Arabidopsis thaliana: one gene and its partners. The protein of the gene in region 1 interacts with the protein of each later gene in a pairwise test. Each region holds a gene or a part of one and is shown in the gene's direction. Other genes may lie near its edges.

Region 1 (3,350 bases):
TGCAATATAGCAAAATCTGAAATAAAATTTACCCTTTGAATATAAGAAAAAGGAAGGAAACTTAATACACCCCAATTTGAGAGAAGAGAAGCCATATATTTTTTGTTACTTGAGTTGATTTATAAGCTGCCATATCCCTTACATGAGTTATTATATATACTGTAGTTCTCCAGATTCACACCATTCTGTTTTGTAGACTTCATTTTCCTTAATTTGTTTTGGGAATCATGGCTGAAAATTCATGGACGACAGAGGAGAACGAGATGTTCAAGGATGCACTGGTGATGTTCACTGCCTTTTTGCTTACTCGGTTTGAGAGTGTCGCCGAGTATGTGGATAGATCGGTGGATGATGTTAAGGAGCATTACAAGGAATTGGTCAATGATCTTTTAGAGATGGGATCCAGTCGAGTAGCTTTTCCTAATGAATTGACTAAGGATATGGCTCAAAGTTCGTACCAGGCCGAGAGAACTATATGGACCAAAGAAACACATGAGTAAGTATATAAGATTAATGAGTGATGAGTTATGATTTTTGTTAGTTAGTGGAATTTACATACACGTATAAGTTTCAATTATAAACATAATGATTGATTAGTACTGGTATTGGTTTGTGGATCTAGCTAGACGCATTCTCCTCTTAGACTCCATAATTCACATAGTTCATTTCTGAGATTAAAATGTATTTAGTCCTATGATCTTACGATTTACACATTCTAGCATTATTTTTTTAATGTGGACAATATAGTTTTTTTTTTTTTTTCATTTGACTCAATTTATATCGTTAACTAATAATGCCATGGTGAAACTTGATTAAAATGGGCTGATCTATGAACTGGTGGAAATTGTAATGCAGATGGTTTCTGATTGGGTTAGACCGATTTGGGAAAGATTGGCGTAAAATAGCCGTCTTATTGGATTGCAAGAGCCCGATCCAAGTCGAGATATATGCAGAAAACTTTTACCAGTGGCAAAGCTCAAAGAAAAATGTGATTAACGACTTAAATGTGGCAAGCACCGATGTGAATGTGATGAAACGGCAGGGAGCAAATAACACCAATGTGGACTCAACAGGCCAACAAGAGAGTCTCGTCGCTCTGGAAATCGGTCACCATGCTAAGGCCCCCAACTCAAAGTGATATAAATCTCTATGACTGTATTAACAACCAAAAAATAAAAAGCCTAAAGATATTGAAGGCCCTTGATTATTTTTTTTGTGTGGTATGTTAAAGATTTGGGATTTCCATTTTTTTGGCAAACCATATTTTATTTAATTTTGTGGTCATCTATATTATTTTCTTTAACCATTAAAATAATATATATTTCAATGTTTTTATTTTTTGCTTTATTTCATCTAGGCTAAACAGAAGATACACGTAAGATGGAGCTTTCAAGTTAAGTACGTAGTATATATAAAGTTGGGGTTAAATAGGAAACTAAAATAACTTGAAATTACACTCCAAGTTTTACCCACTGCGTACGTCTAAACGTAAACGAGAAGAAAACTTCTGAGTCAAGTTGTGCGTGTTTAAATACGAAATCGTGTTTCTTTTTGTAAAGTGAGGGCTAATTTTGTAATTTTCACCCATTACTTGATCCTCTATAAATTGTCAGGTTGCCAAAATTAAAACGAACAAACAATCGCTCTTCCGTAACATATTCCACAAAACGATCTTCTTGTTTCTTGAATTTTTAGCCATCTCTTTTTTTTTTTCTCATTTTCTCGGATACTATGGCTTCGAGTCCACGCTGGACGGAGGACGACAACAGGCGTTTTAAGTCAGCTCTGTCGCAATTCCCTCCGGATAACAAGCGTTTGGTGAATGTCGCCCAGCATCTGCCGAAACCTTTGGAGGAGGTGAAGTACTACTACGAAAAGTTGGTCAACGATGTTTATCTGCCGAAACCTTTAGAGAATGTCACCCAGCATCTGCAGAAACCTATGGAAATGGAGGAGATGAAGTACATGTACGAAAAGATGGCCAACGATGTTAATCAGATGCCCGAGTACGTACCACTGGCGGAATCGAGTCAGTCCAAACGCAGGAAGAAGGATACGCCAAATCCTTGGACAGAAGAGGAACACAGGTTAGTCATCAAATACTTATGAATTAGGGTTTCTTTTGATTGAGGAAAAGTCTTAAATCTTGAGGAAAAGTATAAGTTAACAGTTCAAATCTCACAAAAAATGATTAGTTTGGGTTTTGTTGATTAGGGTAACGTATACAAGTATTTTTCTTCAGATAGATGTAATTATCAATTTGATTTATATTAATTTTAACATGATGATGCTGATTATGATAATATCTAGGTTATTAATTCTTATGATTTTGATTGTTTAATGATATATTTCAGATTGTTTCTGCAAGGATTGAAAAAGTATGGGGAAGGAGCTTCGACGTTGACATCAACGAATTTTGTGAAGACAAAGACTCCACGGCAAGTGTCAAGCCATGCACAGTATTACAAAAGGCAAAAATCGGACAATAAGAAGGAGAAACGCCGGAGTATTTTTGACATAACTTTGGAGTCTACCGAGGGCAATCCAGATTCTGGAAATCAGAACCCTCCGGATGATGATGATCCGTCCCAAGGTCAAGGCACTTGTCTTGGAGTTTAGATGTTGGAAGATAGAAGAATGGTGTGAAATGAAACAAGCAACGGAACTTGAACTCAAAAATAGATAATATATATATATATATATATAGATTTAATATAATAAAAAAGGAACTTCGCTTGTTTTCTGCATATGTATAGGATTGCTACGTAGTTTCGGTATACAAAAATATCAGTTTCACTTGATGATGTTCAAGTGTATAGGATAATTAATGATTCTATCAAGTATATGTTAGTTTTTATTTTAAATAGTTTCAAAACATTAAAAAAGCCAAGATATTATATTATATATAAAGTAAGTGAATATGATCACTAATTAAATGATCAATATTTAGTCAAACCGTTTGTCTTTCAGTATATTTAATTTACATGGAACTTGGAAGCATAATAAGACCAAAATTTTATAAGAAGATATATACTTTGAATTCTTTCTTGAACTGAAAAGTAATCTTTTCTTTCTTTCTTTAAATTCAAAAAAAATAGAATATTTATTTCTGTGATAAAGGCCGCGCGTAAACACGTTTAAAAGAAAGAAAATTCATAAAGAAGTCAGTCATACGTACTTAGAACTCTTTCTTGTACTGAAAGTTTTCATCTTTTTATTTTATTTTTTTCTGTGATAATTAAACAGACGTATAAACACGTTTAATAAAAAGAAAGACAGCTTCTGAGTTCTGAGTTTGATATATATAATATGGTGGTTAAGAACGAAATAAAATAACTCGGGTTTCTTTT
Region 2 (4,255 bases), on another chromosome or scaffold:
ATCTAGCATATACTAATATAATGCAAAAACAAAAATGGTAAACTAAGTATTTTTATTCTATTCTAAAGAATGTCAAATTGTATGCTTTTAAATGTTTAAACAAAAATCATGGAAATTTGGTATTTTGTAAGAAATTGAAAGCGCCACAATTCTGAGCTATTTTAAGGAATTCTTCAATAATTTTGTTTTTTTAGCATTATCATATATGTATCAGAATTAATTAGTGAGTACTGGCAACATTTTTTCCCTTTTCTTTCATACTCTGCCAGCTTTTGTATTTAAAACTATGATATTTTTTTCTATATCATATTATGTGATTTGTTTACATTTTCAAAGCAAAATGTAATAATTTCTATATATTTTATGACAATGTGCATTTTTTACTTTATTTTTATTGGTTGGACTGTGATTAGATAAATCATAAAATATCTTTTGATTTAGTAAAATAAAGAAAATCATTAATTTCTTAATATGGAAAAATTTAAACGTTTTTATTTTGATACAAAGAGAGTAATTATTTTGTAAGTCTTTGGGCATGATAAGTTTTTAGTATTCAGGACTTGGTAGAACTACAAGAATCTCATTTAAATTCCATTGTAAAAACTAATTGATAAAACTAATACAAGTAAATTAGTATAAATAGGTTGTATTTTGTTTTTTTTAAAGTATAAATAGATCGTACGGAACTACTTACTGTTTTACTATTTGTTTATCTAGACCGATATATTTAGATACAGCTCCCCATGAAATTAAATGCATTAACAAATTTTAAAATTCAAACATACGCACCAATTAATTTAAAGCTATTATTTAAATATTTTATAAAAAAAAAATTACATGCTACGATTTTATACCATTAAAATAGTAAATTTACGTGCCTTAGAAAATGTCTATATTTGGTACTTGATTCCTATTTGTTTTCAAAAATACTCGCTTTATGTTTAGGGGTTATATTTTTCCCGCTTAAGCATACATCTACATTTGATATTTTTCTTATAGTAGACATGATTATATTTTTTATATTGATATTAATAATTTTAGGCTATCAAACAAAAAATAATTTAGGCAGAAATAACCATTTTATGGGCATGTTAATTTTTCTTTTTTTTAAAAGAAGTGACTATATATTTAAATAAAGAATCTGAACTAGAAATGGAATGAAACTCAAAGGAGATAAATAAGAAATTTTTACCATATCCTTACACAAAGAAATGTGTCGTTTAGCATGGTTTTTACAGGCCTATTATCACCACCCTTTCGCAGTCTCTTCTTATTTAATGCTCATAATATATATAGATACACAAACATACATACATACATGTCTCTATCTCTTCTCTCTCTCTGAAGGTCCCAATAGCTTCTTTGGTTTGAATTTGGTGGCCGAAGCAACACAAAGGTCTCAAGAGTTTTCTGGGTATATTCTCTTCTTCCTTCGATTTCTCTTTATTTTTGTTTTTGTTTTGTTTTGCTTTTACGTATATTGTCTGCTTGCAAATATTGTTTTTTGACTTGTTGGGTTTGGTCTATCTGATATTTTGTCCGATGGGTTCCATTTTCACTTTTGCAAGATCAAGTATTTCAGTAGTAATACGGACTGGATTGTTTTGTCGTTATATGCTTTGATAAGAATCAAAAGAAAGAAAAAGATCGATGCTTTTACTGTATAATCATTTGATGATAAACCATTAATCTTGTTTGTGATTTTCTTTTACCTTCTCTAAATATTTCTCCTATATTATGTACTTAATCTCTTTGGTAGTAGTTTTCCTATAGTATTTATTCAATCCCTTGGGAGTAATAACTAATGGAATTTGGATCTCTAAATCTTTGTGTTATTCATATGATGAATCTTATTTCACAAGTTAGATCTCTCGATCTTTCACTAAAAGTCTCTGTTTTTTTCTTTTGTGTTATGTTATTGCTAGAGAGTTTTAATTTAGATTTTGATAAATACGGCATTACTAAATGACGATGATTATGCAATTTTATTCTTAAAGTGAATCATAGTTGATGACATTATTTGCAGATTCTATGGATATGTATAACAACAATATAGGGATGTTCCGGAGTTTAGTTTGTAGCTCGGCGCCTCCATTTACAGAGGGACATATGTGTTCTGATTCGCATACGGCTTTGTGCGATGATCTGAGTAGTGATGAGGAAATGGAAATAGAGGAGCTTGAGAAGAAGATCTGGAGAGACAAGCAGCGTTTAAAGCGGCTCAAGGAAATGGCGAAGAACGGTCTAGGAACAAGATTGTTGTTGAAGCAGCAACATGATGATTTTCCAGAGCACTCTAGTAAGAGAACCATGTACAAGGCACAAGATGGGATCTTGAAGTACATGTCGAAGACAATGGAGCGATATAAAGCTCAAGGTTTTGTTTATGGGATTGTGTTAGAGAATGGGAAAACGGTAGCGGGATCTTCTGATAATCTCCGTGAATGGTGGAAAGACAAAGTGAGGTTTGATAGGAACGGCCCAGCTGCTATAATCAAGCACCAAAGGGATATCAATCTTTCTGATGGAAGTGATTCAGGGTCTGAGGTTGGGGATTCTACCGCACAGAAGTTGCTTGAGCTTCAAGATACTACTCTTGGAGCTCTGTTATCGGCTCTGTTTCCTCACTGCAACCCTCCTCAGAGGCGGTTTCCGTTGGAGAAAGGCGTGACACCGCCATGGTGGCCAACGGGGAAAGAAGATTGGTGGGATCAACTGTCTTTACCCGTTGATTTTCGAGGTGTTCCGCCACCTTACAAGAAGCCTCATGATCTCAAGAAGCTGTGGAAAATTGGTGTTTTGATTGGTGTAATCAGACATATGGCTTCTGACATTAGCAACATACCCAATCTCGTGAGACGGTCTAGAAGTTTGCAGGAGAAAATGACGTCAAGAGAAGGCGCTTTATGGCTCGCTGCTCTTTACCGAGAAAAGGCTATTGTTGATCAAATAGCCATGTCTAGAGAAAACAACAACACTTCTAACTTTCTTGTTCCTGCAACCGGTGGAGACCCAGATGTTTTGTTTCCTGAATCTACAGACTATGATGTTGAACTGATTGGTGGCACTCATCGGACCAATCAGCAGTATCCTGAATTTGAAAACAACTACAACTGTGTTTACAAGAGAAAGTTTGAAGAAGATTTTGGGATGCCAATGCATCCAACACTCCTAACATGTGAGAACAGTCTCTGTCCTTATAGCCAACCACATATGGGATTTCTTGACAGGAACTTAAGAGAGAATCACCAAATGACTTGTCCTTATAAAGTCACTTCCTTCTACCAACCAACTAAACCCTATGGTATGACGGGTTTAATGGTTCCTTGTCCGGATTATAACGGGATGCAGCAGCAGGTTCAGAGCTTTCAAGACCAGTTTAATCATCCCAACGATCTCTACAGACCAAAAGCTCCACAAAGAGGCAACGATGACTTGGTTGAGGATTTGAATCCTTCTCCTTCGACGCTGAATCAGAATCTTGGTTTAGTCTTACCTACTGACTTCAATGGAGGTGAGGAAACAGTAGGAACAGAGAACAATCTGCATAATCAAGGGCAAGAGTTGCCCACATCTTGGATTCAGTAAAGAAAGCTTCAGAGTTTTCTTTTTATGTTTTCTAGTCTTTATAGCTTTGTCTCTTGCTTATTCTCTCATTAAACACAGTTTTTGATCTCTCCATTTCATAGCCCATGTAGCAATGGAGAAGATTAGGTTTCATAATAAGTTAATAACCAAATTCAAAGTAATTCATTATGTGATTTGAAGAGCCTCTCTTTTTGACAAAAGAACAGTAGAAAATGCTTTATTTGTTTAGACTTTAGAGGTGTGTATTTGTGTTCGCCTTGGGCTTCAAGGAAGAAGGCGTTTGTAGACATTTTTAATATTAAATAATTTAAACTTTGTTGGTATGATAATATTTTTATTTATGTCTTTTTATTATGTCTTTTTATAGGGAATTGTTTTCTATAAATAACAGATTTTTTATGTGTTAAATTAATTTTGTGCCTTTAAAAGAGATTAATGGTTAAAAGATGTATTTCTATATAAATCTCAAATTGAAAAATCAAATAAACTAAGTTTGACGATATGCTATTTTAAAGTTAATATGAATAATTTCAGAAATATTTAAATGATATTTCGCATATTAAATTCATAAAATAAAACTATGTGAAGACCTTACTATATAAAACTATACCTTTTTCGGCAAATCAAATACTTATATTATAAAGAGTTTACAAGAAATATAAATATT
Region 3 (3,146 bases), on another chromosome or scaffold:
TCAGGAAGGAGGATTTGTGCGGCGATTAACATGGCTGAGAGACTTGTTCTGTTCAACATTGCTTCACTTCTTCACTCTTTTGATTGGAAAGCACCTCAAGGACAGAAGTTTGAGGTTGAAGAGAAGTTTGGTCTTGTTCTTAAGTTGAAGTCTCCACTTGTGGCTATTCCTGTTCCAAGGTTGTCCGATCCAAAACTCTATACAGCTTAAGTAAGTAAGAAGGAAATTTGGTTTGAGCTTATGAGAGGAAGTTGAATTGAGTTTTCTTGTTTAAAGTTTATTTTTCTTTATTCGTGTTTGGAGTTTGATGCTTTGTAAAAAAAGATGTGTCAAGTTAAATTTAATTTTCTTATATATAATAAAATAAAGTTTTAGTCACAATATATAATAACGCATTATTTTGGTGTCCAAAGTCGATACCATAAGCTATAAAATTCTTGGCAACAAAATTACACATACAGTGTATGGGCTTAAGAACCACAGAAGTTTTGGATATGTAAACATTAACGATCAACTGGTACTCAAAACTTCAGAATTTGACATATCTAATGCATGGTAATTGGAAAAAAAAAAATACCGTAAAAGACGCTATTATACATTACAAAAAATATAAATACTGTGTACACTTAAACAGTTATTTACTTTCATCTATCTGTAAATAAATAAGTCAAATTTTTGATATTTAGGGGGTGTAATTGGTTCCTAATTTATAAGGAATTTTGATGACTTCAATCAAATACTAGAAAGTAAAAAAATGAAAGATTTTAAACGATTGTTAGAGACTTTTTTATAATCTTGTTGATTAGTTTTTCATAATTTTGTAAAGTTTTTCAAACAATCTCTCTATTTTGATAATACTTTTCAATGATTTTTCATGACTTCATTTTAAGAAGAAAAATGTAGAAAGTCATGAACCAATAACATAATAATTTAAATTATTAACAATCAAAGATTCTTTTGTTTTAATTGAATAACACAAAACTTTTAATGACTTTATAAGTGTATAAATCTAATAACCCAAAATTTATGAAGATTTTAAATTATTTTTTACAAATCTTAAATGAATAACACAAAATTTTAACATACTTTTAAAAAGTCTTGATTAAATAACAACAAATTTTACATAACAGTTTAAATCACTTAAATTCTTTTGAAATCATAAACGAATAACACCCCTTTATTAGACATTAGTCATGATAATTTGGGAAAATAATAATTATAGTAAATAATGTTATTATCTTTCCTAAACAAGTATTGCGCAGTCAAACAATAACTCTTCATCATAAATAAATAAGTCAAATTTTCGATATTTATTGAACATTGCTATCTTACCTAAAATTATTGATATGGCAATTTAAATATGTTTTGAGACATGCCTATAAAACTATGACTCATTTTGTTATTCTATGCATCATTTATATTTACTACATTTTCTTACATTGGAGCAAGGTATTGCATGATCTCACCATCTTGATCTAACGTTTAAAATGAAGTTTTTTTTATTTGTCATTAACTTATAATAGTTTTTCATATATACCACTCATGTTTTATTACATCCATTTTATACACTTTTCATTGCTACATAAAAAACAAAAAATGATTTTATAAATATTCGACTATGAGATCTTTCGTGAGAATTTGTTCTCTTATGTTACATTGATATGATATTGTTATGTTTGTACGATTTCTATAAGAACTTCTAATCGCTTAAGTTAGGAAGATTTATTGAATATTTAAATTATATATATATCTATGTAGTTTTACGTAGATTTTTTACTCATCACAAGCAATGGTGAAAATATAAATTTTAGTGGTATTATTTATGATATATAATTTAAATATGTAGAAATTTTTATATATCTTGAAGATATTTTTCTTAATTTTGTTAATATAAATCAAATATGCATATATTTAAAAGTGTATTGATAATTTTTTTTTCTCATACAATTTTTTTATTTAGGGGTTAAGAGAGAAAATAAAACAAAGAAGAATGGCTTCCAACCGTTGTGCTGTCTGCAAAATTTTGAATGAAACTTGTGCTCCAATGTGCATTTATGCACCACATTTTCCATCAAACGATGCAAGTTTCAAAGTTATTATTCAGATTTTTGGAGCCGTGAATGTTTGCAATATCCTTGATAATCTTGAATTTCCAGAACAACGAGAGATTGCTGCCAACTGTTTACGTTATGCTGCTGAGGCTCGTATACGTAATCCTATTTCTGGTTGTCATGACATGATTCTACAATACAAGAATATTCTCAATAATGTTGAACAAGATATTGAATCCGCGGTGAATGAGCTTGGAACCTATGTGGGACACGATCAAGTACCAAAATTTTATGATCTTCCAATGCCAGATGATTTCCTCATGACACCAGTCTCTTTAGATTCTTTTATTGCAAAAATTAAGAGTTTAAACGAAGTTCAAAAGAATCAACTTATGCAACTCCCAACTGCTGCTGATAATGCACCAATGATAATGAATAGCATATTTGGGAAGATGGAAGATAAAAACCTGAAAGATGGGCATAGAGCTGATGGTGCATCAACATCTGCTGGTAAGTGATATTGAAGAGATACTTCCATTTTCTGAAAATCAAAACCAAAAATAATTTTAATTATGTCTTTTCCGTGAATTTCTTTTAAACTCGAGTCTCCATAATAATTCTGTGTTTCTCTTCTCTGTTTTTCCTTTTTATAATTCTACAGTTTGTAATGTCTTAAGTTTAATATATCACAAAGTTTTTAAGAAAAAAAAAACATAATTTGACCAGTTTATAAAGATTTATTAACAGCATTTCCATATTTAATTTCCATAGTTTTTTGCAAATAGTAATCTATATTATAGGATTTGAAGATGTTTGTATATTCTTGATTGGTAACTCCGAAATAATTCTAAAGTTTGTAACACTTAAAAACATCATGTTTTTCTACTGTTTAAAAATTGGATATGAGAAGAAATACAATTCTCCGACAGTCCGACGAGGAGTGCTCTGTCGTCCATACACAAAAAGCTTTTGGCTCATTTTTTATTTTTATTTTTTCTTTTCTCTTTAGACAATATTTGAATGGGACTTCAACACTGGGGGCGACTTGGTCAATATTGGCGTTGTATTTCCTATCAAATTATATATGTTATTATC
Region 4 (4,788 bases), 3.2 Mb from region 1:
CGGAATTGGAGGTTCGGAATTAGGCTCGTGATGGCCCGAGACGCCGTGTAAATTCATATCGCCAAAGTTTATGATAACTTTTTTTTTTTTTTTTTTCTGAGCGACGGTTAAGGCGTTAACCGCTAAATTGCGTTCCGATGAAAAATTGACGAAAATGTCCTCACTAATTACTTGGGCTTGAAAACAGATATTTGGGCTTTAAAAAGCCTAAGTAAAAAGTGCCCAAAAGACTCGTGGAAACAATAATAACACGCGCATCGCTAGAGCTTACGTTTGACGCGTATCGTCGACCACAACATCGATATCGATCGAGCCGACAAAAGAAAAAAAATTATGTGAACATTCCTCTTCTTTCTTTTTTGGTTTAAATGTTAACATTCCTCTTCTTTCTTTTTTTGTTTAAATTTGAAGAATCCTCTTTCTCTCTCACAATCACACGAATCTTGTCTTCTTTTCTCTCCGTCTCTTTCGATACTTGGCTTCAATCCTGTGACGTCCTGTTCTATTGTGCCTTAATCGGGTAATCTAAAACAGAACATACACTATCAGTTTTTTTTCGTGCCCTGCTTCTCGAAGTTTCCGATTGTGTGGTTGGTTGATACATATCTCATTGATTATCTTTGTTACTGTTACTTTCATCTCTTATCTCATTCAATTATAATCTAGGGTTCTTACTTCTTCTTTCTTCCCTCTCCGCTAACTATTTGGCCTGGACACCTTTTTTATTTTTTTTATTTGAATCATTATAGTAATCGTAGCTTTGTAGATTTCTTGCTGTATAAATCTCTAGAAAATCGCTCAACGGTTCACGGAATGTGATTCAAGAATCTTGTTTATGTTTGTTCTTTGATTTAGGTATCTAGGTTCGTGTGAGAAAACAGAACAATATAATGTATCCTTGTGGTTACGTTGCTCAAGTCACCAACTTGTCTCCTCAAGCCACTGAGAAAGATGTTCATAGGTTCTTCTCTCACTGTGGTATCGTCGAGCTCGTTGAAATCACCGGGTAACAACAACGTTCATTGTTCAGTAAATTATTAATCATTCTTGAATCTGTTTATATTTTGTTTCATGTCTCCATGGATTTCAGGTGCCAAGGGGATGCATTAACGGCTTATGTAACCTTCAGAGATGCGTATGCTCTGGATATGGCTGTGTTACTTAGCGTAAGTCCCTTAATTAGCTAGAAATTTCCAGTATGATCTTCTTGGCATTGATTTTAATGTTGATCTTCAGGGAGCTACGATCGTTGATCAAACCGTTTGGATATCGGTCTACGGTGTCTATTTACATGAATCTAACAATCTCAGACAAGAAGAAGACTATAGTGTTACGGTAACATTAAAAACAATACTTACTAGGTTACTTTAGGTTATAAGCCAAAGATTCTCGAAAATGTTTCTTTGTAGGTGACTCGTTCAGACGCGTTTGCTTCATCGCCTGGAGAGGCCATAACCGTGGCTCAACAAGTTGTGCAGACGATGTTAGCTAAAGGCTACGTTTTAAGCAAAGACGCGATTGGTAAAGCCAAAGCTTTGGATGAGTCTCAGAGATTTTCAAGCTTGGTAGCGACCAAATTGGCAGAGATCAGCCATTACCTTGGCCTCACACAGAACATTCAGTCGAGTATGGAACTCGTGAGATCAGCGGACGAGAAGTATCATTTCTCGGATTTCACTAAATCCGCGGTTCTTGTCACGGGCACAGCTGCTGTAGCCGCAGCCACCATTACAGGGAAAGTGGCTGCAGCTGCAGCGACTAGTGTGGTCAACAGTCGTTACTTTGCTAATGGGGCTTTATGGTTCTCAGATGCTTTGGGCCGGGCTGCAAAAGCAGCGGCCCATATCGGTGGAGGAGGAAGCAATTGATGTAAAAAGTCTTTGGGCTTCCTTGGAAAACATAAATAAATGATATGTGAGGTTTTAAAGCATAAAAGGTGTTGTGAAAAGAAAAAGAAAAAAAAAACCATCATGAAGATATGATTAGTAACGTTACATGATCGAAAATATTTGAGGCAGAAACTATAAAATAACTTTATTACATGAACTGGAGAATATATATGAAATATAATAATAAGCCTAAAGCTTTTAAAATATTAAGGATGGGTCCTAGAAACCTCCCTAGCTTGATCCTTTCCTCATTCTTTCTCTCTCTTTCTCTTATATGAGAGGTTGATGAGATCCACAAGAAACACCTAACTCATTTGATAGTGATTTCCAAATCTGCAAACAACAAAGTATATTTGATCATCACTATACTGATTTCACAATCCATTAATCACTGATAGGTTTTTGGTGGAATACATACATGTATGTGTTTGATCCAACAACAGAAGCTGGATTGAGATTAGAGATGGCGTTTCCTCAACATGGTTTTATGTTCCAACAACTTCATGAAGACAACAGTCAAGATCAGCTCCCTTCTTGTCCTCCTCATCTCTTCAATGGTACTATACTCTCTCTTTCTCTCACTATTTCTCCACATAAATAGATTTGAGTCATGAATTCTGTTGGTGTATATAGGAGGAGGAAACTACATGATGAACAGATCTATGTCTTTAATGAACGTGCAAGAAGATCATAATCAAACCTTGGATGAGGAGAATCTATCAGACGATGGGGCACATACTATGCTGGGAGAGAAGAAGAAGAGGCTGCAATTAGAGCAAGTTAAGGCATTAGAGAAGAGCTTTGAGCTTGGTAACAAGCTGGAGCCAGAGAGGAAGATACAACTAGCTAAAGCATTAGGGATGCAACCAAGACAGATCGCGATTTGGTTTCAAAACAGGAGAGCTAGGTGGAAGACTAGACAGCTCGAGAGAGATTATGATTCACTCAAGAAACAGTTTGAGTCTCTTAAATCCGACAATGCTTCTCTACTTGCCTATAACAAGAAACTCCTTGCTGAGGTATGTATCTATATAAGTAAGTATATATGTGTGTTTATATAGTAAATAAGGTGTTTAATTCAACTTTCATTTCTAATTTGATTGTGTTTGTTTTTTTCTTTGGTTTTTTTATTTTTGGTTTTGCACTAATAGTAATAACCAACGTAAAATAAATCTAGGACTACAAATATTTTTCTGATTATTGGCTTGGATTGGTACTATTTATGTAGTATATATATATGTGTATATATATCAGTGTATATATATATATATATGTATGTATCTTGTGTGTATTAAAGTCGTTTAATACGAAATGCAATAGATTATTGTTAGGCACATGATCCAACACTATAAGATGTTTGTCAAAAGACAGTAGGTGTTTTGTTTATTAATAAAAAGGATTCTTGATCAATATTTACAATTTAATTAATACATTCCCATATGACTATCAAGTAATGGCATGTGTGCGCTAACCAAATTTGACAAGAATACTGATTTTTATATCATATCATTTTTGTGTGTTTTAAATGATTTTACTACTTATTGAAATGTAATAGTTACAAGATTTTCAAAAATTACTTAAGCTAAGTATATGTAAATATATAATTTACATATATAGTCTTACAGTTTATCTATTTTAAGTTATTAGTCATTTTAAAAATATTTTGTTAATTTAAATTATATATAATTATGTTTATTTTAATGATATATAGAAATGATAATTTTTAATATCTGAATTTCTAAAACTTAACATTTGAATTGTGTGTGATGATGGTTAAAGGTAATGGCTTTAAAGAACAAAGAATGTAATGAAGGAAACATAGTAAAGAGAGAAGCAGAAGCTTCATGGAGCAACAACGGAAGCACAGAGAATAGTTCAGACATCAATCTGGAGATGCCTAGAGAGACCATTACAACACATGTGAACACGATCAAAGACCTATTCCCTTCATCGATTCGATCATCTGCACATGATGATGATCATCATCAGAATCATGAAATAGTTCAAGAAGAAAGCCTTTGTAACATGTTTAATGGCATTGATGAAACGACGCCGGCTGGTTACTGGGCATGGTCTGACCCAAACCACAACCACCACCACCACCAGTTCAACTGATTCATGATTCTAAAGCTCAAAAAAAAGTCATCAGCACGCATCAAGACAAATGATCATAATCATCATCATCATATCATCAGGAGAAGATCAAGACACAATTCTTCTCTTTGGAATTATGTTATTGCTACTCATTTCAATTTAAATTAATGGAGCATTTTGTTTTCTTTGGGTTTGTAGAGCATTGGTGTATAGTGCGAAAATTTGTTGTTGCTTTAATTTAATAAAAATCATAAAGTTCTTTGCATTCGGCCGTAACATTGTTAGATGTATGTGGATTGATCACAGTTTACAATATATGTAAATGGTTCAAAAAAGCATAACCACTCTCTTTTACTTCCCGAACAAAACTCTCCTCTAACCAATTGAGTGAGATTAAAAATCATGATTTTTCTCAACTTATATGTCCAATTTTATATATATATGATGGGTTGGTACAAATTTATTAAGAAAGTAAGGATATAAAAGTGAGAAAGATTCATATGCATGTGACTTCGAGTGGGATTCCAGCTCTGTCTTTGACATAACATGATCCATGACTAATATTATATGCAAAGATTATTTTAATATATATTTTATATTTTATGATTTTATCTTTGCAAGTTGCAATTTAAATCTTAATGGATTAATGGAACCATTAACTTTTTATTATAAAAAAAAAAAAAAACTATGCCATGCGTCACGTAGTTGCATGTAATACCAAATACAGTATTCACGTTCACTTCATCTACATAGACATATCTATTCTTTGTTGGTTCAAAATTGTTTTGAGTGAAATGAATCTATT

What was found.
Region 2: the proteins of AT3G10590 (region 1) and EIL2 interact in a two-hybrid assay, tested with the Arabidopsis thaliana proteins (one large-scale study listed by BioGRID).
Region 3: the proteins of AT3G10590 (region 1) and LBD32 interact in a two-hybrid assay, tested with the Arabidopsis thaliana proteins (one large-scale study listed by BioGRID).
Region 4: the proteins of AT3G10590 (region 1) and HB20 interact in a two-hybrid assay, tested with the Arabidopsis thaliana proteins (one large-scale study listed by BioGRID).

What each region holds. Positions count from the first base shown.
Region 1 is NC_003074.8:3,309,693-3,313,042, reverse strand, and holds AT3G10590 (Duplicated homeodomain-like superfamily protein), read left to right. Parts: upstream 1-1,715; 5' UTR 1,716-1,731; coding exon 1,732-2,087; intron 2,088-2,354; coding exon 2,355-2,619; 3' UTR 2,620-2,835; downstream 2,836-3,350. Other genes in the region: AT3G10595 (Duplicated homeodomain-like superfamily protein), read left to right, coding at 228-496, 856-1,138.
Region 2 is NC_003076.8:7,180,598-7,184,852, forward strand, and holds EIL2 (ETHYLENE-INSENSITIVE3-like 2), read left to right. Parts: upstream 1-1,991; 5' UTR 1,992-2,010; coding exon 2,011-3,588; 3' UTR 3,589-3,745; downstream 3,746-4,255. UniProt on the Arabidopsis thaliana protein: Probable transcription factor acting as a positive regulator in the ethylene response pathway. Could bind the primary ethylene response element present in the ETHYLENE-RESPONSE-FACTOR1 promoter.
Region 3 is NC_003075.7:11,931,311-11,934,456, forward strand, and holds LBD32 (LOB domain-containing protein 32), read left to right. Parts: upstream 1-1,986; 5' UTR 1,987-1,990; coding exon 1,991-2,569; 3' UTR 2,570-2,576; downstream 2,577-3,146. Other genes in the region: CYP706A1 (cytochrome P450, family 706, subfamily A, polypeptide 1), read left to right, coding at 1-210.
Region 4 is NC_003074.8:71,292-76,079, forward strand, and holds HB20 (homeobox protein 20), read left to right. Parts: upstream 1-2,015; 5' UTR 2,016-2,307; coding exon 2,308-2,446; intron 2,447-2,522; coding exon 2,523-2,908; intron 2,909-3,668; coding exon 3,669-4,004; 3' UTR 4,005-4,248; downstream 4,249-4,788. Other genes in the region: RP2 (PPDK regulatory protein 2), read right to left, coding at 1-57; AT3G01210 (RNA-binding (RRM/RBD/RNP motifs) family protein), read left to right, coding at 891-1,006, 1,091-1,166, 1,237-1,335, 1,410-1,868. UniProt on the Arabidopsis thaliana protein: Probable transcription factor.